Linked DNA regions of Oryctolagus cuniculus. The protein of the gene in region 5 purifies or fractionates together with the protein of the main gene of each other region. This does not show direct contact. Links are inferred from orthologs where the notes say so. Each region holds a gene or a part of one and is shown on either strand. Other genes may lie near its edges. The genes, in order: LARP1, SNRPD1, ZNF326, HNRNPUL1, FUS, DDX17 and HNRNPR.

Evidence for each region.
Region 1: the proteins of FUS (region 5) and LARP1 purify together in Homo sapiens (affinity purification with mass spectrometry; 3 studies listed by BioGRID and IntAct, with this or other methods). This does not show direct contact. The link is inferred for Oryctolagus cuniculus from reciprocal best matches to the Homo sapiens genes FUS and LARP1.
Region 2: the proteins of FUS (region 5) and SNRPD1 purify together in Homo sapiens (affinity purification with mass spectrometry; 3 studies listed by BioGRID and IntAct, with this or other methods). This does not show direct contact. The link is inferred for Oryctolagus cuniculus from reciprocal best matches to the Homo sapiens genes FUS and SNRPD1.
Region 3: the proteins of FUS (region 5) and ZNF326 purify together in Homo sapiens (affinity purification with mass spectrometry; 3 studies listed by BioGRID and IntAct, with this or other methods). This does not show direct contact. The link is inferred for Oryctolagus cuniculus from reciprocal best matches to the Homo sapiens genes FUS and ZNF326.
Region 4: the proteins of FUS (region 5) and HNRNPUL1 purify together in Homo sapiens (affinity purification with mass spectrometry; 3 studies listed by BioGRID and IntAct, with this or other methods). This does not show direct contact. The link is inferred for Oryctolagus cuniculus from reciprocal best matches to the Homo sapiens genes FUS and HNRNPUL1.
Region 6: the proteins of FUS (region 5) and DDX17 purify together in Homo sapiens (affinity purification with mass spectrometry; 5 studies listed by BioGRID and IntAct, with this or other methods). This does not show direct contact. The link is inferred for Oryctolagus cuniculus from reciprocal best matches to the Homo sapiens genes FUS and DDX17.
Region 7: the proteins of FUS (region 5) and HNRNPR purify together in Homo sapiens (affinity purification with mass spectrometry; 4 studies listed by BioGRID and IntAct, with this or other methods). This does not show direct contact. The link is inferred for Oryctolagus cuniculus from reciprocal best matches to the Homo sapiens genes FUS and HNRNPR.

The regions. Positions count from the first base shown.
Region 1 is NC_091437.1:41,684,037-41,687,536, forward strand, and holds part of LARP1 (la-related protein 1), read left to right. Parts: intron 1-9; coding exon 10-154; intron 155-3,500. UniProt on the Homo sapiens protein: RNA-binding protein that regulates the translation of specific target mRNA species downstream of the mTORC1 complex, in function of growth signals and nutrient availability.
Region 2 is NC_091441.1:56,034,661-56,038,660, forward strand, and holds the start of SNRPD1 (small nuclear ribonucleoprotein Sm D1), read right to left. Parts: upstream 2,801-4,000; 5' UTR 2,608-2,800; coding exon 2,594-2,607; intron 2,508-2,593; exon of another isoform or gene 2,334-2,507; intron 1-2,333. UniProt on the Homo sapiens protein: Plays a role in pre-mRNA splicing as a core component of the spliceosomal U1, U2, U4 and U5 small nuclear ribonucleoproteins (snRNPs), the building blocks of the spliceosome.
Region 3 is NC_091438.1:80,642,212-80,646,355, forward strand, and holds the start of ZNF326 (DBIRD complex subunit ZNF326), read right to left. Parts: upstream 2,801-4,144; 5' UTR 2,629-2,800; coding exon 2,613-2,628; intron 376-2,612; coding exon 331-375; intron 1-330. UniProt on the Homo sapiens protein: Core component of the DBIRD complex, a multiprotein complex that acts at the interface between core mRNP particles and RNA polymerase II (RNAPII) and integrates transcript elongation with the regulation of alternative splicing: the DBIRD complex affects local transcript elongation rates and alternative splicing of a large set of exons embedded in (A + T)-rich DNA regions.
Region 4 is NC_091449.1:13,324,115-13,327,614, reverse strand, and holds part of HNRNPUL1 (heterogeneous nuclear ribonucleoprotein U-like protein 1), read left to right. Parts: intron 1-100; coding exon 101-367; intron 368-1,881; coding exon 1,882-2,004; intron 2,005-2,088; coding exon 2,089-2,217; intron 2,218-3,500.
Region 5 is NC_091450.1:6,013,781-6,017,854, reverse strand, and holds the start of FUS (RNA-binding protein FUS), read left to right. Parts: upstream 1-1,274; 5' UTR 1,275-1,376; coding exon 1,377-1,389; intron 1,390-2,728; coding exon 2,729-2,753; intron 2,754-2,856; coding exon 2,857-3,011; intron 3,012-3,714; coding exon 3,715-3,859; intron 3,860-4,053; coding exon 4,054-4,074. UniProt on the Homo sapiens protein: DNA/RNA-binding protein that plays a role in various cellular processes such as transcription regulation, RNA splicing, RNA transport, DNA repair and damage response. Binds to ssRNA containing the consensus sequence 5'-AGGUAA-3'.
Region 6 is NC_091442.1:115,130,814-115,134,313, forward strand, and holds part of DDX17 (probable ATP-dependent RNA helicase DDX17), read right to left. Parts: intron 1,104-3,500; coding exon 867-1,103; intron 226-866; coding exon 1-225. UniProt on the Homo sapiens protein: As an RNA helicase, unwinds RNA and alters RNA structures through ATP binding and hydrolysis.
Region 7 is NC_091438.1:147,612,369-147,614,842, reverse strand, and holds the end of HNRNPR (heterogeneous nuclear ribonucleoprotein R), read right to left. Parts: intron 2,031-2,474; coding exon 1,909-2,030; intron 1,772-1,908; coding exon 1,159-1,771; 3' UTR 501-1,158; downstream 1-500. UniProt on the Homo sapiens protein: Component of ribonucleosomes, which are complexes of at least 20 other different heterogeneous nuclear ribonucleoproteins (hnRNP). hnRNP play an important role in processing of precursor mRNA in the nucleus.

The DNA.
Region 1 (3,500 bases), on a different chromosome or scaffold from region 5:
TCCACTTAGTGAATACTACTTCAGCGTGGACAATTTAGAGCGAGACTTCTTCCTGCGACGGAAAATGGATGCTGATGGTTTCCTTCCTATCACCCTTATTGCTTCCTTCCACCGAGTGCAGGCCCTCACCACTGACATCTCACTCATTTTTGCGGTATGTCTCCCTCCCTGGGACAAGGGTGCAGGGAAGAGAAAGGTTCTTACTTAACGGAGTTGGAGTTGCAGGCCAGGGCAAAAATCCCTGGGAGGGTCCTCATCTGATTACTTGTGTTGTAGTCCCAAGGTTTAGCTACCGTCCTTTCCTGCCTTCTTCCTTCCTGCTTTCACAGAAAATGTAGACAGAATAGCACTAAGGAGCCCAACACCAGCTTTAACAAGTGCCAGTCTTAGTCCATCATACCTGCATCTATTTCCCCCTCATATTCATCCACAAATGTGTCAGTATTCATCTCTTCGAGATAAAGACTTGCTGAAAAATGTAACCACAATATCATCACTCCTAAAAACATGAGTATTAACAATTCATCAATACCACCAAATACCCACTCAGTTTCAGACTCACCCAAGTTGTCCAAAAATAATCTTAACCATAGTTTGTGAAGCTCAGGACTCCAGTAAGACCTCTGCATTTTAAGCTCCTCCCTCCATCCCTTTATTTTTCTTGCGGTTTACTGTTAGAGTAAACTGGGGTGTGTACCCTGTAGAATATCCCTCAAGACACAGTGATGTTAGTTAACATGTTCATCTATGTTCCAAAGTTTCTGTAAATTGGTAGCCTAGAGAACTGATTACATGGAAGTTTGGGAGCTGTTTCACCCTTATCAAGAGTGTTCCAAGAGTGCTGGATTTTGTAGAATAGCAGTTAAAGATGCCACCTGTGACATCAGAGTCCCATATGGGTGCTGGTATGTGTCCTGGCTGCTCGACTTCTGCTGCAGCTCCCTGCTGATGGCCTGGGAAAAGCAGAGGAAGGTGACTCAAGTGCTTGAGCTCCTGCTACCAACATGAGGGACGTGGGAGAAATTTCTGGTTCCAGCTTGACGCAGCCCTGGCTATTGCAGCCCTCTGGGGAATAGAACAGCAGATGGAAGATTGATCTCTATGTCTGTCTCTCCCTGTCTCTCTCTCTAACTCTTCCAAATAAATTAATATTTTTTTTAAGTACAGATCAAGAATGATGTTTTCTCTTTCATGGCACGTAACATATCTTTTGTTTATCTCTCTTGTGAGCAAAGCTAATATTGGTGATCATTTCTGATGACTTCATTGGGAATGGTAACACTGTGGTGGTCTCAATCTGTCGGTCTCCAGGGTTGGAATCTCGCTTTGAGGGGAACCGTTGCCTCATTGACTACGCAGTTACTGAGGCAGATAGATGGCTCGATCTTTTCCCTTTCCTTAGCCAGTTTACGGAATTGTCAGTTGATCCCTAATTACTTCCTCGGAGTTTTTTGTTTTGTTTGTTTGTTTGTTTGGTCTGTTTGGAATTATTGAATATTTTAATATTATAGATTCAAACTTTTACTTCAGTTCATTGCAGTTAATATGTTGGATCAAATTGTCTGATTTTTGACCAGTTCATCTTGTACATTTTATGCCACAGATTTGGAGTTAGCCACTTTTTAAAAGAACTTTAATTGCTTTTTGAAAGAAAATGGTATTTAAATACTGTAGTCCCAGTTAGAGGGGCTGCTCATTGTTGCTTCGCTGATTGTTTTTAGAAGGTAATTTTTGGGGCTGGCATTGTGGCATAGCAGTTAAAGCTGCCCTCTGCAACACTGGCATCCCATATGGGCACCAGTTTCTGTCCCAGCTGCTCCACTTCAGTCCAGCTCCCTACTCATGTGCTGAGGAAAGCAACAGAAGATGGCACAAGTACCTGGGCCCTTGCCACCCACTTGGGAGACCCGGAAGAAGCTCCTAGGTCCAGGCTTCAGCCTGGCTTAGCCCTCACTGTCGGCAGCCGCCTGGAGAGTGAACAAGTGGATGAAAGACCTCTCCTTCTCTCTTTAACTCTGACTTACAAATAAATCTTTTGTAAAAAGATTGTGAGATTATACTTTCTTATAAAGTTCAGGAGTATAGGATCTTTATTTAAACTGGGTCTTTCTTTGAATCTAATTCCTCCCCCCCCCCCCCCCCGCCAAAAATCTTAATTGCTAGTAACATCAGCATAATTACTTGTTTCATTCCACAGTATATACACGTTGTTCACTCTTTCTAAAAATTTTTATTTATTTCTTTTCATTTTATTTGGAAGAGACACTTCCACTGGTTCACTCCCCAAATTTATGCAATAGCCAGGGCTGGGCCGATGGGCCTAGAACTCAATCCAGTCTTTCCACCTGGGTGGCAGGGGACCCAAGTACTTGAGCTGTCATCTCCTGCCTCCCAGGATACACTTTACCAGTAAGCTGTATTGGAAGTGTAGCAGCTGGGTCTGAACCAGATTTACTGATAAAGAGATATGGATTGGCCAGCGCCGTGGCTCAATAGGCTAATCCTCCGCCTTACGGCGCCGGCACACCGGGTTCTAGTCCTGGTCGGGGCGCCGGATTCTGTCCTGGTTGCCCCTCTTCCAGGCCAGCTCTCTGCTATGGCCCAGGAGTGCAGTGGAGGATGGCCCAAGTCCTTGGGCCCTGCACCCGCATGGGAGACCAGGAGAAGCACCTGGCTCCTGGCTTCGGATCAGCGCGGTGCGCCGGCTGCAGCACGGCGGCTGCAGCGGCCATTGGAGGGTGAACCAACTGCAAAAGGAAGACCTTTCTCCCTGTCTCTCTCTCTCTCTCTCTCACTGTCCACTCTGCCTGTCAAAAAAAAAAAAAAAGAGAGAGAGAGAGATGGATGTCTTCAGCAGTGATGGAACTACTGTGCCTACTGTGCCTAACAGTGCCCTGACATCATTATCTCTGCTACCACTGAAAACCAATTTTTTTAATTCCTACAGTTAAATGAGTATTTCACACCATTAGCAATGATGAATTCTTTCATTTTAAAGTAAAGACAAGGCTGGCACCGCGGCTCACTAGGCTAATCCTCCACCTGTGGCTCTGGCACACCGGGTTCTAGTCCCGGTCAGGACGCAGGATTCTGTCCCAGCTGCCCCTCTTCCAGGCCAGCTCTCTGCTGTGGCCTGGGAAGGCAGTGGAGGATGGCCCAAGTGCTTGGGCCCTACACCCCATGGGAGACCAGGAGAAGCACCTGGCTCCTGCCTTCGGATCAGCGCGGTGCGCTGGCCGCAGCGCACCAGCCGTGGCGGCCATTGGAGGGTAAACCAATGGCAAAGGAAGACCTTTCTCTCTGTCTCTCTCTCTCTCTCTTACTATCCACTCTGCCTGTCAAAAAAAAAAAAAAAAAAAAAAAGTAAAGACAAATTCCTATGTGTATTCATATCCTTCCCCCTTCTTTGATAAATGGACGTTACAAAACATGTGTTTTCAGTTGTGTTTTTTGTTTTTGCTTCATTTATCTGGGAGCCGGTCTTAACTAGTTGCATAGTG
Region 2 (4,000 bases), on a different chromosome or scaffold from region 5:
CCAGCAGACGCTCTGGGCTCCTGGCTTCAGCCTGACCCAGCCCTAGCTGTTGTGGTCAGTTGGGAAGTGAACCAGCGAATGAAGATCTCGCTCTCTTTCAAATAAATAAAAAATAAATCTTAAAAATATATATACATACGTATATGACAAAGGACTGGTATCCAGGATATACAGAATTGTAACAACCCAGTAATAAAAAGAAACCATCAAAATAAACAACAGATTCAAACATAACATCACAACAGATGTGCAAATAGCTAATAAGCATTAGTCATTAGAAAAATACAAACTAAAACTTAAGGAAACACTACCATATACCCACTAAAATCCATAAAATTAAGCAGATTGACAACAACAAATGCTGGTGAGGAAGTGGAGCAATTGGAAGTCTAACATATTGCTATTAGAAGTTTAAAATGGTACAAGCACTTTGAAAAATGGTAGGGCATTTCTTATGAAGTTAAACATATCCTTACCCTATGTAGAATTCTGCATGTCTGCTCCTAAGTATACCCTATGTAGGATTCTGCATGTCTACTCCTAAGTATTTACCCAAGAAAAATCAAAGCTATGTATACAGAGATTTGCATAAGGATGTTCAAAACAGCTTTAAACAAAACATATCATTTTAAAACATACAATTGGACTACTATCCTACAATTAAATTTTTTTTTTTAAATACTGGGGGTGGGCGGCACTCAGCAGGTTAACCCTTTACTTGGGACAGCTTCCTATATTCCGTAACAGAGTGCAGGTTGTTGTACCAGCTGCTCTACTTCTGATCCAGCTCTCTGCTAATGCACCTAGGAAAACAACCCAAGATGGCCAGAGTGTTTGGGGCCCCTGTCACCCACGTGTGAGACCCAGACAGAATCCCTGGCTCCTGGTTTCAGTTGGCCCAGCCTGGGCTGTTGTGGCACTTAGAAAGCGAATCAGCAGTTGGGAGGCACTTCTCTGTGTTGCTCTGCCTTGTTTTAAATAAACAAATCTTTAAAGTAACAAAAAGCAAAACTAAATGTTGATGAATCTCAGGAGCATGCTAAGAAATCTTAAGCAAACATAAAAAAGACATATAGTCTTTTTTTATTCCAAAGAATAAATTCTACTGCAGGCAAAACTACAGTGGAAGAAACACATTGCTTTGGTGGATGTGGAGCTAAAAGTTGACTTGAGATAGCTTAAGGGAACTTCTTGAGGTTTTGGTATTTTACCATGGCAGGGGTTTGGGTTACACTAGTGTATAATTTTTCCACTCTCAGGAAATACACACTGAACTTCACTTAAGAAAGTGAAGTTTGTCTCCCTGGTTTTGGCTAGGGTGACAGGATAAGGATGATAATGCCACCAACTGAGATGCAGAAATAAATACAATGAGCATACACAAACTAATTAGTCAAACCATTTTCTTGAGGCAAGACACAAGAGGGTTTGTATCTACCTAGTACCTAAGACACAGAACGGGATTCAGCACACTCGTTAAAAATTACAGGGAAATTCTGCTAGAACATGTGCTATTTTCAAATGAGACAAACTGAATCTTCAGTGACAAAAAAAAAAAAAAAAAAAAAAAAAAAAAATTCATTAAGATTCAAACGAGCAGGTATGGAGAAATATAAAAATACACTGAGTTCTGAGACTGTTATACAAAGTTATAATTCAAATAAGAATGAACATTCACATTAAATGTCTTCTCTACAAACTCCACCCATAAAGTATAACTGTATTTCAAACATACTAGATGTTAACCACTTATCTGTCTTCAGCACTAAACAAAAAGTTCCAAGGCAGGGATTCTTGCCTTTAAGAAAATTCTATTATCGGCACACAGTAACTGTAACAGGTGCCCCATAACTGGTCAGCACTGCCAGTCTCGACTTGGGAGGAAAGAAACTCGTCAAATACTTCCAACCGCTAGCTTAGTACCAGAAACCACCGCTGGGCTGCAGGCTCAGCCTCCATGTAAAGCACCAAAATCTAACCTATCTGCAAGCAGTTTGGAACTAATTACAAACATCAATAAACAATCCTTTAGTAGGCTCAACTAAGCAACACAATCGCAGAAAGGAAACCGGAGGAATTACCAGCTATGTGTAACCAGCCACAATCAAAAAGTATTGGCTTTTGCCTCATAGTGGGAGATTTTTCTGATCAAAAGTCTAGGGAGCATCGAGAGAGACCAAAAACTTTAAAATCACAACTTGCAAACTAGTTCCTCTCTGATCTAAAACATGCTGCAAGTAGGCTTCCTTATTTCCATGATAAACTCCGTCTTCAGACCCACGGGAGCTCCATGCGCACAATGAGAATGGGTAACTAACGCGAGACCAAGCCACCTTCAAGGCCCCCAAGGCAGCAGGTGACAAGACGCAGCTCGGTCTTCAAGCCCGCCTCTTGGAAGACAGGCGAGGCTGAAGAACGATCGATCACGACCCGGAGCCGCGGCCAAGATGGGGCGCGCGCGGCGGGCGCCGCAGGCCGTTAGCAGGCCGCGCGCACGCGGCTTTCCCGCCTCCGGCCTCGGGACCGCTCAGCTTCCCGAGCCCGGCCCGAACCCTTACGGCTCAGCCCCCGCCTCGCTCGGCCACCTCCTCACCTCACGAGCTTCATCGTAGCGGCGCAATCGTCCTTTCTGCTCGATAACGCAGAGAATGCAACTACCGAGGACCGGCTAGGCGTATGAATGGCCGGAAACGCCTACTCCACGGGCTCCGGACGTAGCGAGCGCGCGGAGCACTGTGGACGTGCGGCGGAAACGCCGAGGCCTTGCTGGGCCACTTTGCCTTCCGGCCAAGGGGAGCGCGACTGCGACCCCTCGCTGCCGGAGGTATGCATTGCAGAGGCTGAGGGCGTGACTGTCTGTCTAAGGAGAGGGCGATTTGAACAGTTAAATCCAATTAGCAGTCGCCATCACGCTTCGGCACGGCGGGGCGCGTTGGCGAAGCACCAAATACAACTTCCTCCGTGAACAAAGAGCGGTTTTGAGAGAAACACAGGTTATTGCGAATTCTGGTCCAACACCAAGAACCTTATTTAGCATTACTGATGAATCTGAAGAAAATTGCAGAATTATGTTTCCGAGACACAGTTGTCTGTTTTCCTCGTACTCAACGTCTCAGTAACATTCAACACACTTCAGTTTTGAAATACCTTCTACCTTTGTTTCCCGGGCCAAGCACTCTGGGTTTCTCCCTAACCCACTAGCTGTTCTGTCTAGGCCTCTGAGTCTTTACACGTGTCAGGATGCTTCAGGGCTTACAGCTGTAGTCCTTTTTAGGAAAACTTTCTCCTTTAGCCTGGGCGATCTCCTCCAAAACTATGGTTTTAATTTGTAAATCTAGATTGAACTTCATCCATGATCACCAGAACTCTAGGATGTTGTAAGGCAATGCTCATCAAACTTTAATGTGCACAGGACAGACCCAAGGAATTTTTTAAATAAAGATTTATTTATTTTGAAAATCAGAGTTAACAGAGAAAGAGGGAGAGTCAGAGATCTTCCAACCATACGTTTTTCCCCAAGTGGCTGCAGCAGCCAAGGCAGAGCCAGGCTGAAGCCAGGAGCCCAGAGCTTCCTCCAGGTCTCCTACAAGGGTGCAGAGGCCCAAGCACTTAGGCCCTCTTCCGCTGCTTTCCCAGGTGCCTTAGCAGGGAGCTGGATCAGAAGTGGAGCAAGCCGGGACTTGAACTGGCACCCATGTGGGATGCTGGTGTTGTAGAGGCGGCTTTACCCGCTATGTCGCACCACCAGCCCCATTGAGGAAATTTGAAGATGAAAATTCTGGTTCAGTTGTTGTAGGGCCTGAAATTCTGCATTTCCAGAAGCCTTCAGTTGAAGATTTCCCTAGTCCATGGATCACAACTTGAGTAGCAAAGCTATGAGGCATATTTGTGAGCAGTCCTCACAACCTCTTCTACTCCCCTTTCTTCTCGAGAGTTCTCAGTATTCTTCTGGAGACGCACGTGGTCCTCAGGAAGCTGACTCTACCCTTTATGTCAATGA
Region 3 (4,144 bases), on a different chromosome or scaffold from region 5:
GCTTCTAATTCAACAAAAAGAACTCAGCCAGTACTGGGTACTTCACCACTTAGAATGTTATTAGAGCCTTTGTAATAAATTTAAAAATCATAATTCAAATAAAATGGACAAAAAGTCTAATTAACAATGAAAACCCCTAACTTTTTCTGATCCCAAATTCAAATACTACATACATTATAGCAACAGTTAACAATGAAAAGTGATACATCAAGAGCCAAAACCATGACTGAAAAAGTAGAACTGACTTTTCACATTGGTGAGTCTGAAGAGAAAATCTGAAATGCACTGAATCCTCAAAAAATTTAATTGCAAATGAAAGAGGATACTTACCATTAAAGCCCTGATAAGTATTCCTGCAAGCAGAGTGTGTGTAATCTATGAAGACACAGTTAACAGAAAGGAATTAGTAAAATATTAGCAAACCTCCAAAATTATATATGCATCTATTTGAAACAAACACAATTTCTCAAATGTCATTAACTCAATTATCTGCAAAACTGAGGTACAAACAATTACCAATACTCCCTTTGGGAAAACACGCATCTCTTTTTCTTGACCACCCTCCCCAAAGGCAGGTTCATCTCATCATCCAATTACAGTAATGGAAAAATTAGTTCATAACACCTGATCCATAATAACAGTCAAAAGAGGGATCCAATACTGATTTACAGTACAGAACAAGAAGGAAAGCAGAGCGGCTAAAATTATGTATTAAAAACATGCAAAAAGCAGAGACATTTGAGAGGTGGTTTTATGTAATGTAATTTTTTTCAAAGTCAACACTTCTGCCATTTAATTCACTGTCTATAAAGATTTCAAGATCTAATCTGAGGAATGTATATGTATATCTGAGTGTGTGTTAAATCCATCCAAGATACGGCACCGTTGAAAACCATATTGCCAATTTCCCCATCAAACCAATTTAACAAAAGTTTAATCATTTAGTTAATTTTGCAAATAAATACTGAAAGAATGAAATTTAATACAGTACTCATTTGGATACAACAGAACCACACTACACTGTATAGATACACTGTTGGTCAAATTCCATTTCCCAAATAGAATTTGGTGACTGAGGATGGACAGCGCGGCAGGGAATATTTTATCACGGACACTGTTTAGAATTGTAGGCCTATGAGAATAGTAAGTTATTACTAAGTTTGATTCTTGTTTTTCAATTGCAGAATTTGTATTGGCTAATTGCGTTGGGGTGGGTGGAAAGGATTGTCCCCACCTACACCTGGCAGCCTCTGATTGCCCTTTGGGTGTTTGTACTATCAAACTGTAGCCTGAAAACACAGTAAATTTTTTTTTTATTTTCATCCCAAACTTTGATCACTTCAAACATTCAGAGTTGAAAGGTATTTATATCAAAATGAGTCAAAGTCCAACTAAAACAAACAAAAACCCCAGGTACTCTTACCAGCTGAACTTCCTATTTCAAAGTATCTACAAAAGGGCTAATGGGGGGGGGGGGCTTTCATATATCTTGATTCAGTAGCTTTTACTTTTGTAAAAATCAAAATTCAAAAGCTGCTTCATTCCTAAGCGGAGATCACACCTCATTCAATGTTAAGTATGGCTTGTTTTTTTGGTGGCATTAGAGGCTTTCAACTACTTAGCGAACTGGTTTTTATTTAGAAACGCCTGCCTGGTTCCCCCGGATTAAATCCAGTTTAACTACACAAGCCCTTTCCCTGGCCTCCCTACTTGCTGTCACTACATGCCATTTTTTTTTCCTCTCTCGACACCCATGTCGCTAAAAGTTGAGGACTTTTGAGGACATCGGAGGACAAGACGAAGCCCAGATTAATTTTTTGTGACCCTGTGAAAACGATCTGAAGAGCTGGGGGGGGGGGGGGGGGCTAAAAGGCACGGCTCCGACAGTTTATTTCGTCAGCAGGAACACAAGCGGCTGAGTACACGTCTGAAGGTGAAGGGCACGTGATGTTTGCTCGTGCCAGAATTCTAACTTAAACCGCATCCACACACAAGACCGAAAAAAATAAATAAATAAAAGTGCTCCGGTTCACAGAGCCTAATTCGAACGAGAATTAACAAGCCCAGTTTTCCAACCAGGAAATACCTGGCTTTCCACCGATCGTCTCTGAGGGACGCCCTCTAAACATCTTTTCTTAAAAACAACCGAAATCAGCACCGTGAACAAGCCTCGGAAAATGCTACCAGGCAGGAAGAGCACTGACTAAACGGACGGACGGGCCGGGTCGCCGCCCTGTGGGGCGAAGGCGACACGAGGGGGGTGGGGGTGGCGGCAGGCCCCATGCGTCCGTTTGCCTGAGCCGGGAAGTTGGGAGGCGTTAGGCGGTTTCCACGCACCGGGGCCTGGGCGAGGCCGCGGCCCGAGCCCCGGGGCCTGGAGCTCTGGGCGCGTCCTTCCCGGCACCGAGGCCCACACCCAGCTCCCAGGTTCTCCCGGCCGGGCCGATTCGAGGCGTGCGGGTCCCTCCAGAGGCCGCCTCAGGGCCCTGGGCCCGGCCTCCAGGCCCGCCAGAACAAAGCCCACACGGCCATCTTGAGACGGTAAACAGACCCCCGGCGCAGGCCTCCCGCCTCCCGCCCGCCGCGGAGACCTCTCAAGAGGCTGCGCTTACCGTCCTCGAAGTCCATGGCGGAGGCTCGGGGCGGACGGCCTCAGAGGCGCTAAGCTGAGCTCTGGCCGGCGGCAAGCGCCCGCGATCCGCGCGGTTCCTCACAACCAGTCCGCTCCACCGAGAGCGGCGCTACGGGCCGGAGAGCGCAGGCCACAGTGAGGCTGGGGGCAGGGCCGGGCGGTGCTGCCGGCCGCCGCAGCGCGGCCCGCGATTGGCTGGCGCGGGCTGGTGGGCGGGCCCTCGCGCGGGGGCGGGAAGCAGGGCCGCTGTCACGCTCTAGGATTTTGACCCCGTGGAGCCGCCGCGGGCACGGTGGGTAAAAAAGAGAGCGTCGGCGAGTGGCGGCGCCTGCGGGGAAGCGAGCTGAGTGTTCTGGAAGGGCGGACTGCGGCCCGCCATGTTTGAACCTGGCAAGAGCGAAAGGCTCTGGTTAGAGGCTCTTCCTCCTGCCCGAAACGAATGAAATCACGTGCCGACCTTTTGCTTTTTATTGGCTGGTGATGACTGCTCGGGAAAATGCTTGAGCGTGTAGGGAGACGCTGAAGTCTGGGACGGTCTTAGAACTCTGGGAATGAGGCAAAGCAGGCTCTCCGCTCTGAATTTGAAGGCGCTAGTAAGAAGCTGCACAAGGTCGCAGGCAAACGAACCTACTAGCATTCCATTATTTACACTTTTGAGTGGACAGTGGGCAGTGGGCGAAGTTATTCAACCACCCAACCATAGGGAAAGAGAAAACGGTTCTGATCACTCTGACCTTGGGGCAGCTGGAACCACGGGTTTAAGAAAATCCTCCCCCTCCCCACCACCCCACGTAAAGCAAATGGTGGCAACAGTGAGTTGACAGGAAACAGGAGTCAAGCTCCTTGCTCTTCTTCCGGGTTCAATCAGCTGCTGGAACCAAGTTCTAAGGAAATACACTGTAAGAAAACCTCCAGTTACACAGACACAGCGGGTGTCTGACGTAGCCAGAAATCCGGCCAGGCGTCGCTTCCTCCCCACCACTTTCCTTCTCCTCCCTAAATGATTCACCCTGCTCTCCACCCTTTGCTCATTTCCTTCTTCTCTCCACACTCCTCCCCCCGCCCCCGCCATATATGTTTTTCTATTCACCTGAGCTGATCATGTCGAAAACTCAATTCACCATTTTCCTCCTCAGACCTGCCCGGGCTCCTGTATGTATTTTTTCCTGTCTGTTTGGGGCAGGGTGAGCTAATCCCCCTAATCCTACTAATCCCAGCCAGCCCGCCTGCCAGTCATCAGTCGCTACTCAGCCCAGCCCTTCCTTCCACTCACTCCCAAGCCGTACCCAGGTCTTTCATCTGTTCATTACCCTCTAAAATTTCTTGAACCTGCCCCCTCCTCTCCATCCCCACTGCCACCAATTGAATGTACAGACTCGTTAGCTCTCCCCATAACTAGTGCTGCAACTTCCTAACTAATTTTTTTTTCTGCCCTTCAGTCTCGAGTTCTCAGCTGCAGTAACATAAATGCCAGTCTAAACTTGTCACGAGGCGTCTCTATCCTGGCTTAGA
Region 4 (3,500 bases), on a different chromosome or scaffold from region 5:
TTCCACTCCCTGCATCTCCTGCGTCAACTCTCTCCCACCTGTGGCTCCCAGGGCCTTGTGCTGAGAGTTGGCAAGTATTGTCATTGACTTTTTCTCCCAGGACTTTGAATGTGGAAACGATGTGGAACTTTCCTTCACCAAGAATGGGAAGTGGATGGGCATTGCCTTCCGAATCCAGAAGGAGGCCCTGGGGGGTCAGGCCCTGTATCCTCATGTCCTGGTGAAGAACTGTGCCGTGGAGTTCAACTTCGGACAGAGGGCAGAGCCCTACTGTTCTGTCCTCCCAGGATTCACCTTCATCCAGCACCTTCCCCTCAGCGAGCGGATCCGCGGCACCGTTGGACCAAAGAGCAAGGCAGAATGTGAGGTGAGCAGACTCAAGGCCGCACTGGCGTCCGCCTCCCACAGCCACCTAGCTGCTGAGGCAGAGGGGAACTAAATAGCCGGGTGTGGGGAAGGAGCATGCTCACTGCGAGAGTGACTGGGCCCAGTGGGCCCCTCAGCCCTTCGTGTGGAAGGGTGCTCTGAGTGGGAGATGGGTGGAGCTGCTGTGGCTTAGGCTAAAGAGGAAGGGGCTAATGTCATCTACCTGAGTCTTAGATTCCAAAAGGAGGGAGGGCTTTGCCTCAGCAGAAAGGACAGCAGGCGATTTCTGGGGGTGCACTCTGCCACCCAGGGTGTCTGAGAGCAGAAGACACAGGCGGGCTTTGGAGATGAGTAGGCTCCAGGAGCTGTCCTGGGGATCCTGGTTTTTTGTTTTCTGGGTTTTATTGTGTTTTGTTTTGTTTTCCAGATTTTTTTATTATTATTATTATTATTTGAAAGAGTTACAGAGAGGAAGAGAGACAGAGATCGTCCATCCACTGTTTCACTCACCAAATGGCCACAATGGCTGGGACTGGGCCAGGCCTAAGCCAGAAGCCGGGAGCTTCTTCTGGTTTCCTATGTGGCTGCAGGGGCTCAAGCACTTGGTCCATCCTCCACTGCTTTTCCAGGTGCATTAGCAGGGAGCTGGATTGGAAGTGGAGCAGCTTGGGTCTCAAACTGGTGCCCATATGGGTGCGAGCATCGCAGGCAGAAGCTCAACCTGCCATGCCACAACACCAGCCCTGATCTTTGTTATTAAATAGTGTTTGTTTTTTTTTTTTTTTTGTATGTGTGAGTTAAGTTTATTCTAGAAAATAGGAAAAAAAAATTTCCCCTCTCCACCACCACCTGCTCATCAGTTCACTTTGAAGAGTTTTGGTATTCTCTTTGGTATGCCGGGAGCCTGTTTCGGTGTACACATGTGACTGAGATCTTAGGGTATTAGGGTTGGAGCATTGTGACAGCCTGCCTTGCTCCCTCACTAGTGCTTGTGAGCTGTAGCCCACCACAGGAAAGCCCTGCTTTGCACATCATTTTTATTGACATCCTAAACTGCCTTCTCTTCTCCCTCCTTATGAGGCATTTAGTTTGCATCTAGAGTGTGCTGATTCTGAGTGTACTGATTAGGAGTGATCCTTGTTCGTGTGTGTACAGCTCGCTTCCTGTTTCTGACTGCAATAAGTTCGTACCACTTCTCATGCCCACTGTAGGGACCGGCCCTGGAGCACAGTCTTTCTGGGGCTTTTCCCTGTCGGAGTCCCTTTTCCTGCCTTGACCAAAATGTCAGTGCTGGTGATGACAGCTGTTGAGTTAGCACTCATCCCTCGCCAGGCCTTCGGCCAAGCATCTGACCAGCCTGACCCCTTTGAATCGCAGCTGCAGCACTGTGAGGCCGGTGCTGCTGCTGCTGCCTCCACTTTCCGGGGCAGCCATGAGATCAGAGTATTCTGTTGTCACCGCCAACAAAGGCAGTGCCAGTCCCCATGCAGCATCCCTTTGCATCTTGTGTTGTAGATTCTGATGATGGTGGGCCTACCTGCTGCTGGCAAGACCACTTGGGCCATCAAACATGCAGCCTCCAACCCTTCCAAGAAGTACAACATCCTGGGTACCAATGCCATCATGGATAAGATGCGGGTAAGGACAGCGCTCCGCACCTCCCACCTGCTCAGTGCTGCCCTGCAACTAGGACCACTCACTCCTCACCTCTCCCACCCTCAGGTGATGGGCCTGCGCCGACAGCGAAACTACGCTGGCCGCTGGGACGTCCTGATCCAGCAGGCCACCCAGTGCCTCAACCGCCTCATCCAGATCGCTGCCCGCAAGAAACGCAACTATATCCTAGACCAGGTGCTCACTGATGGCAGCATGTCCTGGGAGGGGGCGGGCCTCTTGGGTACCTAAAATTTCCCCTCCAGCCTTCTCCTTTCTCAGTGCTTTTCGGCTGTGGTGCTGGCCAGGGTTCAGCCATACACGAGGATGCAGTCTGGCCTCTGCCCAGCTCCCAGGCCCAGTCTGCCGGGTTTGGAGCTGCAACCAGGCCTGCTAGCTTTGGCTCAGCAGCAGCTCCAAAGGACATCATTAGGGGAGAGCCCTTTAATAGAATGGAAGAGGTGTGGATTTATGAACCTGGCAGGCTGCGGCTGAAATCCTGGCTGTGCTGTTTCCTCACTATGTACCCATGGCAGCCGACTTTACCCTATGGGTCTCAGTGTCCTGGTCTGTAAAGTGGAGGTCATAATGGCATGCAATACCCAGCAGGGCCTGGCACGCAGTAACTGGTGATTACGATTACTTCCTCTGCGAGTAGGCATTTCCCAGCTTCCTTCACCAAGTTTTTATGATTGACAGGTAAAAACCTAAGTCATGTATTTTTTCCTGACATTTCAGCTAACATCAAAGGATTTAAGAGCCTTTGAAATCGAACATGGAATACTTTGTTTTATATTGTATATGCACATGCACAGAGATACGTCTTTTTTAAAGAAACGAGACAGTTTTGAGTTAGAAAGATTGTCCATGGCTTTCAGCATTCTCAGAAGGATGAGTGACCCCAAAATGGTTAAGGATTCCTGTCTCAGAATAATGACTTCCACATGCTTGTTGCCTGTGCAACGTCACACTTGACATTTGTCCTGAAGCCATACTCAAGGAGCAGAGAGTGTTTCCTTATTTTCCATATTTGTGGATCTGTGAATAAGCCTTGGATTTATGATGCGTAAGAGTCTGTGAGTGGGCAAATACAGACTGCTGTTCACATCCTTGGTACAAGGGTGTGACACCCCATCCTGTGGCCTCACTGAAGTGTCTTCTGTGTGTATAGCCTGAGCTGCTGGGTCACAGGGTCTTGGTGAACAACCAGTGATGGTTGTTGGCTTGTCAGAGAGGAATCCCCAGGGACCAAGTTGCATTCACGGAATGTTGAGAATCCTGCACCACGTAACGAACACAGGCTAGCCCAAAAGCTTCTCGTGGTTATTCTGCCAGCTTGGCTGCACCAATAATGCATCACCCAACTTCCTCTCACTTGGAAGACTGGGTTTTTTTTTAAACCCTTGGCCTCACTTTGTCTCCTTGTGAGGGCATTTTAGAATTTTAATCTGACATGGCCCCAACTGGACCTCATGGTTCTG
Region 5 (4,074 bases):
TCAATCTACAAAGAAATGTCTGGAACCCAGAGCAAAGTTTGGTTGGGAAGGAAAATCTACAGTCGCACATGTACCAGGAATAATCTTTGTCTGATTTGTTGGAAAAGATTCAAATCCCCCTCCCTAGGCAAAGCTGATCAGAGTGCAAGGTGCAAGTTAATTTGAATTTTGCCCCCCCCCCCCCCCCGCCTTCATTCTCACAGGAAACGGAACAGGCTTTCAAAATTCTATAAATAGTTCAGGTAACCAACAAAGACCTAGTGGTGTAGTGACCTGGACCTGGATTCGAATCACTGCCCCTCGCTCAGCTGCCTGTACAAACACGGATTGCGCAGGCTCTCCCAGGAGCTTCGCTTTTCTCGTCTCTACAATGGAGATGCCTTTTTTACTTTCTTCACCGGTTTTTGATGAGAAGGATGTAAAACTGCGCATGAAACTACTGAAGTCGTATGCCAATGCATTATCCCCAGTATCTCCACGCGGGTTCCGCGGAAGGGCTCAGAATGAAGAGTGTAGGTCGTCGTCGGGAAAGGGGCGGGGAGGGGGGACCCGTAATCTGATAACGGCAAGGCTAGCTGGGGTCGGAGGGGGGCCCGGGCTTTCCCGCCCCACGGTCCTCCAGGGGCAGAGCCACGAGGGTTCTGCCGATCGCTCCGCGCTGCATGAGGGCCCAGAGATCCAGGCTCAACTCCATGCTTGCTTTCCGGTCAGATGTCACAATCTATAAACCCCACTGAGGACTAACGCAGAGGCACCCTCAAGACGCTGAAGCGAAAGCCGAGACGCAGGGAAGGAGAGGGTCGCTGCGATGGCTGAGGGAGCAACGCTACAGCTCGCAGACAGGAGGGTGGCGCCCTATGCGGCAGAAAGGCAGCGGAGGAGGGGCTCGCCATCCCGAGTCAAAGTGAGGCCCGGGCGAGAGGGGCCAACCAGAGGAATCTCGGTTCCCACACCTCGACTCCCGGCCTTGACTACGGTTCCTTCCGCAGACGCCCGGGGCCTCGGCCCCGCCTCTAACGTAATCAGACCGTACCATGTCTCTCTTATAGGGGTAGAGAAGAATCGTAGGCTAGGCCTGCAGAGCGAAGGTGAGCTATTGATCAGAGAAAACATGATGATATATATTCTCTTATATGTATTAGTTAGTTTTTTTCCTTCTTTCTGCTGGGACCCTCGACCCTCCCCGGAAGGTGGTAGGAGTCCGGCCCTGCTTCCCCCCTTCGTTTTCGGCGGTTGGTACGTCCCCCCGCGGTACGTGGGCGGGGAGGCGTACATAAGCCTCGACGCAGGAGGCGGGGCTGCTCAGTCCTCTAGGCGTCGGTGTTCCGAGGTGTCGGAATCTTGTTGCTTGGCGGCCTGTGCGCGCGTGCGCGGAGATGGCCTCAAACGGTATGTAAGGGCGCGAGGCAGCGGTGGCGCGCCGCTCCGGAGGGCCTGGCTTGCTCTCTCCTAGCTGGGCTTTTGATTTTTTTCAGTGGGGCCAGGGCGGCGATCGCGTGTAGGATATTTTCGAACCCCTGTGGCGGGAAGCCCGCGGAGAGGGGCGGAAGGGGGGGCGGGAGGCTGTTGTCGCCATTTTGTTTTGCTCCTCTGGCGCGTTTCGTGCGGGGCGGGAAGTCTTCCCTCCGTTCCCTTGGATGAGGTGGGGGGAGGACGCTTTTCAGCGAGTTCGAGTCTGTGGTAGCGGGCGGAAATGCCCAGGTTCCCGGGCCCCCCCACCCCCTCCACGCCGCGCTCGGGCCCGCTTTGTCGCAGTGCTGCATCCGGGCACTCGGTGCGCGCACGCGCCTTGCGGGCCCCTCCCCCGTGCTCGCGGCGCCGATCCTCCCTTCCCAGCCTCGTGTCAGGCCGGCTTTTTGTCGCGAGACCCTCGGTAGCGGACTCGGCGGCCCGCCTCCGGCGTGGGCCTCGCCCCTCAGGGTCCCACGGGAAGGGGCGGGACCGCCGCGTTCCCGCCTCGGTTGCCACGCGGCCGGGGGCGGATGCTCGGGATCGGGGCCGCGCGCCCGGCCTAACGGTTGAGGGGGGCGTCGGGGAGATCCGCCAACGGTCTCGGGGGCCGAGTCCGAGGGTTTTCCCGCCTAAATTTTCTTTTTCCCCGAATTGGGAACGGGCGTCCGAGGCCACACCCTTCCCCGATCCCTTTGCCGTTTCCTGCGGCGGGAAGCGCCTGGGTTCCTGGACTGAGGGCAGGAGTTGATCTCGCTGCTGCGTCTCGAATGTGACGTCCTAAAAGCGCTTTTCGGTACCTTTTGGGTTGCGGCGGCTCCTCCTGTCTGAGAAGTCGGCAGGAGTCGATGAGAGCCTGTTGGAGCCCCAGGCCTGGGGACTTGAGCACTGATCGAATTGATGAGGGGCCTTGTCGTTTGGCGTCACAGGACCTCTGCTTTTTGGTTGCTTGGCTTTGCTTTAAGACTCCCCTCTGCTTTTTCTCCCAAGATTGGCCAAGGGGCGGAGAATGGCTATTGTTTTTTGGTGCCCACTTAGGAACTCCGTGGCCTTTGTCATGGAGTGGGTGTGACCGGGACAGGGATGGGACAGGTTTTCTAGCAGTTCCTCAAGCGAGTGGAGTTTGCATTGAGAAAGAGTCTGGTGGGGCGTTGGTGGCCAGCAGGGCAGCAGTAGGCTGGTGGGTTTCCTGGCTCCGATGCCCCAGTTCTTGGGTTAAGGAATAGACCTGGCAACCCCTTTCTTGACCCTAACGTTGATTGTCTTTTCTCTTCATCAGACTATACCCAGCAAGCAACCCAAAGGTGAGTGCCGTGTCTGGGCTTCTAGAATTCCTAGCGGGCAAGGGTGGTTGAGGTCATTTTCTTGACTGCACCCTTTTTCTTCTTTTTTCTTTTTCCCCTGCAGCTACGGGGCCTACCCCACCCAGCCTGGGCAGGGCTACTCCCAGCAGAGCAATCAGCCCTACGGACAGCAGAGTTACAGCAGCTACGGGCAGTCAGCAGACACTTCAGGCTATGGCCAGAGCAGCTACGGTTCTTCTTACGGACAGACCCAGAACAGTGAGTCTGTCTTGGGCGGGGGGGTCACTCTGCCTTGAAACCCTAAGCAGTGCTGAAGTGGTGAATCTCTCATGTTTTTTCCCCTTTAACCCTAAAACTTCTTGGAGTCTGCAGTCTTTTCCAGTGAAAATGCTTCCTTCCTTGCTTTTAATCGTTTCCTTTTTTCCTTTGACTTTTTGTTTATGCTGTACCTTTTCTCTGTTTCCCTGCTAAGCATGAGGGCATACTCCCTAAAGAGAGTGCCAGTCTTAGGCTGATTCTTAGTGGAGAAAATGGTCTTCTTGTCTGAAGTCCCATTACTGGGCATCACGGGATACGCCAGGAGAAGGAATTTGCCCCCGAGTTCTGAAGTGAAAATAATTCATGTGGGTTTTCTTGTGTATGGTGTACTCATACCAGCATATTAAAACGTGGTTGACACAGAGGGATATTTTGAATAAGATTCCAGTCTTGGAGACTGGCTTTAGGATAGGTGGAATAAAATTGGAACTGTCTTTAAAAAGTCAGTAGGAGTTAGAACATTAACCTTAGAGTTCAGAAGAATGTCCTTTCCCTGGCTGGGAGTTGCAGGATTTACTAGCAGTTGCTAAGAGGTATGGATGAACATAGGTAGAGTATGTTTTTTTTTTTTTTTTTTCAACCCTTCCCATGCCTTTGTTTCTTCATAGCTCTCGTGACTCCCTTGCTTTGTTTTTCTTCGTAGCAGGCTATGGCGCTCAGTCAGCTCCCCAGGGGTATGGCTCAACTGGCGGCTATGGCAGCAGCCAGAGTTCTCAATCATCCTATGGGCAGCAGTCTTCGTACCCTGGCTATGGACAGCAGCCAGCTCCCAGCAACACCTCCGGCAGGTAAGGTGTTTGTGTGCCCGCAAGATGAGGGGTGAATTGCTAAGGAAAGAAGGCAGAGCACTAGGAGCCATTAGGAGGCGCAGTGTGTGGTGGGGGAAGGGAGGCCTGTGTTGGTAGGGAGGAGGGGATGTGCTGAAAGTGAAAGGAAGTTGTGGGCATGCCGGGGTTCTGATTTGCCTGTGTGTTTCCCGTAGTTACGGCGGCAGTTCTCAGAG
Region 6 (3,500 bases), on a different chromosome or scaffold from region 5:
GACCATAGGTGTATTGGCCTGCTTGAGCTCCAAAGGCGGAATTTGGACTTCCATAGCCACTGCCATTAGCATAACCGGCTCTATCGGTTTCAGCACGATCTCGATAGCTTGCAGAGTCTCTCCGGCCACCATCCTTGACTCCTCGAAGCCGCCGGTCACACTCATCCTGATACATCAGGTTGGGATTGTTGGCTGAGGAAGTGGTCCGGTACCGAGAACGGCCTCCTGACGGAAGGACAGAAGGCAACTTTAAATTCAAGGAACGCGATCCAGCCACAGCTGTATCAACACGAGTGACTGCACGTTCCCTGGATCCCTGAAAGCAGCCTCTAACTGGTAACATCAGTAACATTCAACGATACCCAGCTTGGCACCCTTCCAACTTGGCACCCTTCTAGGGTCTCGACTACTTGAGGACGACCAACCAACACAATTTTGGGAGTTTCTGGGATTCTACTGTGTTTTGGGACAATCTGGAGATTCTACTGTATTTTAGAACTGTGTCGTCCCAACTGTCACATCTCACTCCATAAAGAGGACCAAAAACACTAGGTAAGTATTTTGAACGTATTAAAAAGCAATGGTAATTTAGCTTAATTTTTGAACATGCGCTATACATTTCAAAACTCAAAAGATGAGTTTCAGATTGTCATCTACAAAAATACTGTGCTGCAAAAATAGGACAATTACGACAAACTTTACATTTTCTTATTTAGCAGAGCTTATGGAAACTACTGAACACTGTCCTCTTGTCTTCACTAAACATCCACCTCAAAGCCTTCACAGTATTCAGAAAGACGAGACACAGCAACGTCAGGAGGAAAACACCTCGGCAGCGCCTGCAGAGCTCCAGGGCTCAGCCTTACCCCCTCCGCCGCCGCCGCCTCTGTGGTCCACCAGCTGCATCAGCTTGGGGTTGATGGCCTGATTGGCCTCCTCCAGCACCTTGATCAGCTCTCTGGCCTGCTTCAGGTTCCCTGGGGTGAAGAAGGTATACGCAGTGCCCTTGTTGGTGCTACGAGCCGTTCGGCCAATACGGTGCACATAGTCCTCTGAGCTGTTTGGATAGTCATAGTTGATCACAAACTTGACATCTTCCACATCTGCAGTCGGCGACGCGTCAGTGTGCAGGTGGATGTGGCAGGGAAAGAGAAGAGAAAGGACATGCCAACAACAGGTGGGAAGCACGAATGCAGATGACAGCAAGAGGAGAGAAGATCAAGTTAGTAACCGCTCTGAGCAGGAACAAAACAAGACTCATCCCAACAGAGTAAAAGAGGATTGATTAGTGGTTCCTGGGACATGCATGGGACACTATAAAAGCCGACGGAAACCCCGATCATTCAAACTCCAATCATTCAAACTCCTGCCTCTACTATGCGGCCAATATACTGACAGGAGCTACACCAGAACTGGTCTTTAACAAATTCCTTTTCGAAACTGGAATCGTAGAAGAGAGGCGTTAATTCGCAAAGCCAAATCACTTCTACTCTGTTGGGAGAAGCCTGGCAAACTCTACCAACACCACGACAAACTTACCTTCCAGCCAGTCACAGAGCAAAATGAGAAAAGGAGTTTCACAGACTCATTACTATGCTTTGCAGACTTAATCCAAACATTTACGTTAGGCTGATTCCTTTCTGCTCTTGCATCTTAAAACACTGATCACAGCCAAAGTCAAGTCTATACCGATTTTTCTTTTGCATAAATATTCTGATTATTTTTCTCTCGATTACCACAAGAACACATTACACTAAAATTTCACTCTACCAAGCCCAGCTTCTGCCAAATGAGTGTTTTGCTCAACTCAAGGTTATTTTAACCCAGTACTTGTTTCAATTATTGCAGATTGTCTATGTGACCTGGGAAATTATATAAATAGCCAAAGAATGTGGGAAAAACCATGAAACCTTGAGACAGTTTGATATTCTGTCCACTGCTGAGAATTGGGCTGAGTAACTTCCTAATGCTTACAGTATGTAAATGTTAGTGTAATGCTTTCAGCTAAATGTTTTTTAAACCTACTTAAACAACAAATTTAATATAACAAAGAATCCTAATGTTTTGTGGAAAAATCTGCATTTTACAAAGAATATTCAGAAAATATCCTAGATAAAACACAGATTTTTGTGATATAAGTAATTAAAAAACATTCTCTGTTTGTTACCAGACCGATGCACACTCCCTCCTCCTTTGGGAAACCGCTGCAGCCGATCCCGTCTCTTTGCCTTTTATTTTTGGCGGCCTCCTTTCGAAAACTCCGCCTTCTGACACGGGACCACTGGAGCGCGGGGAGCATGCATCAAGGGTCCGTGGCAGTGAGAAGTCCCCACACACGCTCGCTCTGTGAACTGGCTTAGATGCTTCTCTGTAGCCCCATTTGGTTGCCATGCGCCGGAGAACCTGGGTTCGGGTAAAAATTTCAGGTCCTCCAACGCCTCCCCCAAGGATAATTGGGGTGATTGTAGAAAAAAATAATTAATAAAAAAAAAGCAAGTTACATCCAAAGGGTCAGACCGCATCTATTGCCCAGACTGGATTAATTTCAGGGGGAAGGGGAGATGATTTTTTTTTTTTAAAAATCAGCTGTTGGTACAGGGCTTATGAAGAGGGGCATTATGTCTGTTTCTTATTACAATAAAGGCTCCTCAGTCTTTACTGACCCTTAAGTCCTGAATCACACCAGAAAGACGAGAAGGCACTTATCACAGGGGGCAGCGTGAGTCTCCGGCTCGGGTCGTTGATGCAACAATTAAAAAAATGTACAGGGCCAGGAAGGACGTTAAGACGGGGTGGGCGGGGAGGAGGGCTGGGGCAGGGCGGGGGTTATATCCGTGACCACATCTTCAGAGCTGGAGCAAGGCTCCCTAGTCAATCCCAGTGTGTGCGACCACGGAAAGCAGAGCAGGCTCAGCCCCTGCGCTGGACGCACAGAGGCGGGCTTTCCGGACGGGAAGCACTGGGCTCTGGGATCAACAGTTCAGACGCTAACACTTGGAGGGAGTTCTAGAGGGGTTCAGTGGGGGGCAGAGGCATGGTGCAAGTTCTTCACACTGGAAAGGCGTCCTGTGTGCACACGGCTGGCTGAGAGCACGTAAGAGCAAGCGCGGACCTTGGGCTTCCTCGAGTCAGGCCTGCCCTGATGTTACTTGTGCACTGCCACAATACCAGCTTGCCGCCTTTAGAGAAGATGCTGTAGCAGGGTAAGAAATGGACAAGTTCGTGCTTTGGCCAGCTGCCCAGGATAAGAAACTGCCCTGGGAAGTCCTACGACATGGCCTCTAACTCCAATCGCTAACTAGGAGGGACTGAGACCAGCCAACAGGCTCATCTAGAGCTACTTCGGCCCAATGTAGATTTGCCTCGGCCATGTACTGAGTGATCTGCAGCTGATATCAAAGCTTCTGTTAAAAAACAAAACAAAATAAATTCAATATTTTTAGCTTAACAGTGTGTAGTTTAAACAAAAAAAGAAAAAATCCCAGTGGAAAGGGATTCGT
Region 7 (2,474 bases), on a different chromosome or scaffold from region 5:
AACTAAAGTGGTAGTCACAATCACATATGCTGAAACTGAGGTTCAGTCCACAGTGCATCTGGCCGCTACAGTACTAAGCATTTTCCCTGTATGTATGTTCACTTATCCAGCAAATAAGGTCTTCAGCCACAATTATCCATTATGATGAATGTGGGTCAAAATAAATTGCAGTCTGCTTCCCCAGCCCCATTTTATTCATTTAACACAAGTTATCCAATGCCTGCAAAAATGCTCAAAAGTCTTTGAACCTTTTTAAATAATGGATAAAATTTCAAAATTAATAGAAACTATGAGAGAACACCAATCAATGAAGTGCTACTTGGAATACTTGAATTTAGACTAAGCCTCAGTCTGACATCCACGATACATGTTGGAATAGACAAGAAATTTTGTGTGAATTTGATCACTCACATAGGCAGTTATACTTTGAAAACAATATTTCTTGCAAGGATTACAAATAAAATAATATTTTAGGACACAATTGAATTTGAAATAGGTAATGTTTTGAATAGATTTTTGAGTTTTATTGAAATCTTACATGAACAAGAAATTGGAAATACAATCACATCAAAGAACAAATTGTCACGGCTTTGACGTTTAAGCCAAACAAATTTTGTAGGGCAGATTTCAAAAAGGTGTGAAGTTATAACAATTTAAAAACACAGTTAACCTACTTCTAGGAATGCAAAACATACAATCATAGGTTATTTTCAATACAAGAAAACTTAAATTTGTTTGCTTTAATTTCTTAAAACTACTAAGACAAAGCACTAGCTTGTATTTTTATTTACAGCATACTCCGTACTCCTATGTAATCTATCCCAAATCCAAAAAAATGAAACTGTCCAAAACCAAAGGTTCTGCAAAAGCATGATTTAACAGCTTGTTTTGAAGCTAAAATGAAGCCTGAAACAATAAAAGCATTGTCACCCCCAGAATAAGGGAACTCTGCAAGCCCAATAATGTCCAAGAGCATTTATGAAAAGAGGAAAAATAAAAAGACTTGAGTATATACACAATAGTGATTTCTTCAGCCCAATACAAATGGCAGCAAACTGCTACTTAAAGATGAAACAGTTAAGCCAATTTTTTTTTTTTGAAGAATGTAGATCTAGAGCCAATCGTATCTTGCCATATCGTTTTCAAACCCTCACTTGTCTATTTCCACTGTTGCCCATAAGTATCCTGATAAAATTCCTGGTTGTCATTATTGTAACCATAGTTACCGGAATAGTCACCACCTTGCTGAAGCGGCTGCTGAGCGATGGGTTGGGAACCCCAGTTCTGTTGGTTGTTGGTCTGACGACGCTTGGAATCAGGTTGGTTGTACCCGTCTGCCTTTCTCTTGCCTCCTACATTGCCCCCACGATTGCCCCGAGCTCCACGGGAACCACGGCCTCTCTGCTGTTGTGCAGGACCCCCTCTGCCACCCCTAGAGCCTCGTGGTGGTCCCAAGGGTGCCCCCCTCTGTGAATAGCCAGCTCTACCTCTTGGAGGTGGTGCTCCCCGCCCCCTTGGTGGTGGTGGAGCACCTCGCCCTCCCCTTCCTCCTCCTCTTCCTCTTACTGCATAGCCATCATCATAGCCGTAGTAGGGATCTTCATAGCCTCCACGATAGTCGTGATAATCATAACCATAGTAATCGTCATAGTAATCTTCATAGCCATAGTAATCTGGAGGGTAGCCATATCCACCTCTCCCCCCACCACGACCTCGGCCTCTAATTGGAGGTGGCATTCGAGGAGGAGGGTGATAGTAATAATCTTCATACCTAGCAATGAAGGGAAGAGAGAAGAGAAAAATCAAATTAGCTTGCTTCAAGATTTTTCTTGATTTTATTTCATTCACCTGATTGCCATTATCCAATTACTCCTTGTTCAAAGACGTATCTACGAAAAGCAGACTCACGCGGTGCTTCTGGAGGCCTGTCTAGCAGCTTGGCGCTCTTTCCTTTTCTTGTCTGGTGGCTTGGCTAAAACTATTTCAATCTCCTCCCCTTCTATTTCTTTGCCATTCATTTCATCCATAGCCTATACAAAATTAGAAAAATGATTTTACAAATAAATTTTAAAATATAACATGTCATTTAATATACTTCTTTCAAGTTATTTGAAATTTTTACATATTTTCATTTTACATGAAAGAGAGAGAGAAAGATCTTCCATTGGTTGGTTCAGTGCCAAATGCCCATAATAACCAGGACTGGGTAAGACCACAGTCAGGTGCCTGGAACTCAACCTGATTCTCTCATGTGGCTATTCCCGATTATTGTTGGATACAGCCAGAAGGTGAAGTTCCCCTGAACCCTAACTGTTTTTATGTAAACTGCACCAAGAAAAAAACTGATGTCCTCCCACTGTATTTTTAAATTTTATTTTTATATATTTCAAAGAAGAGAGATAAATCTGCCATCCCATCTGTCGGCTCACTTCTCACATGCTGGAAACAGCTGGGGCTAGAGGCTAGGCCAGACT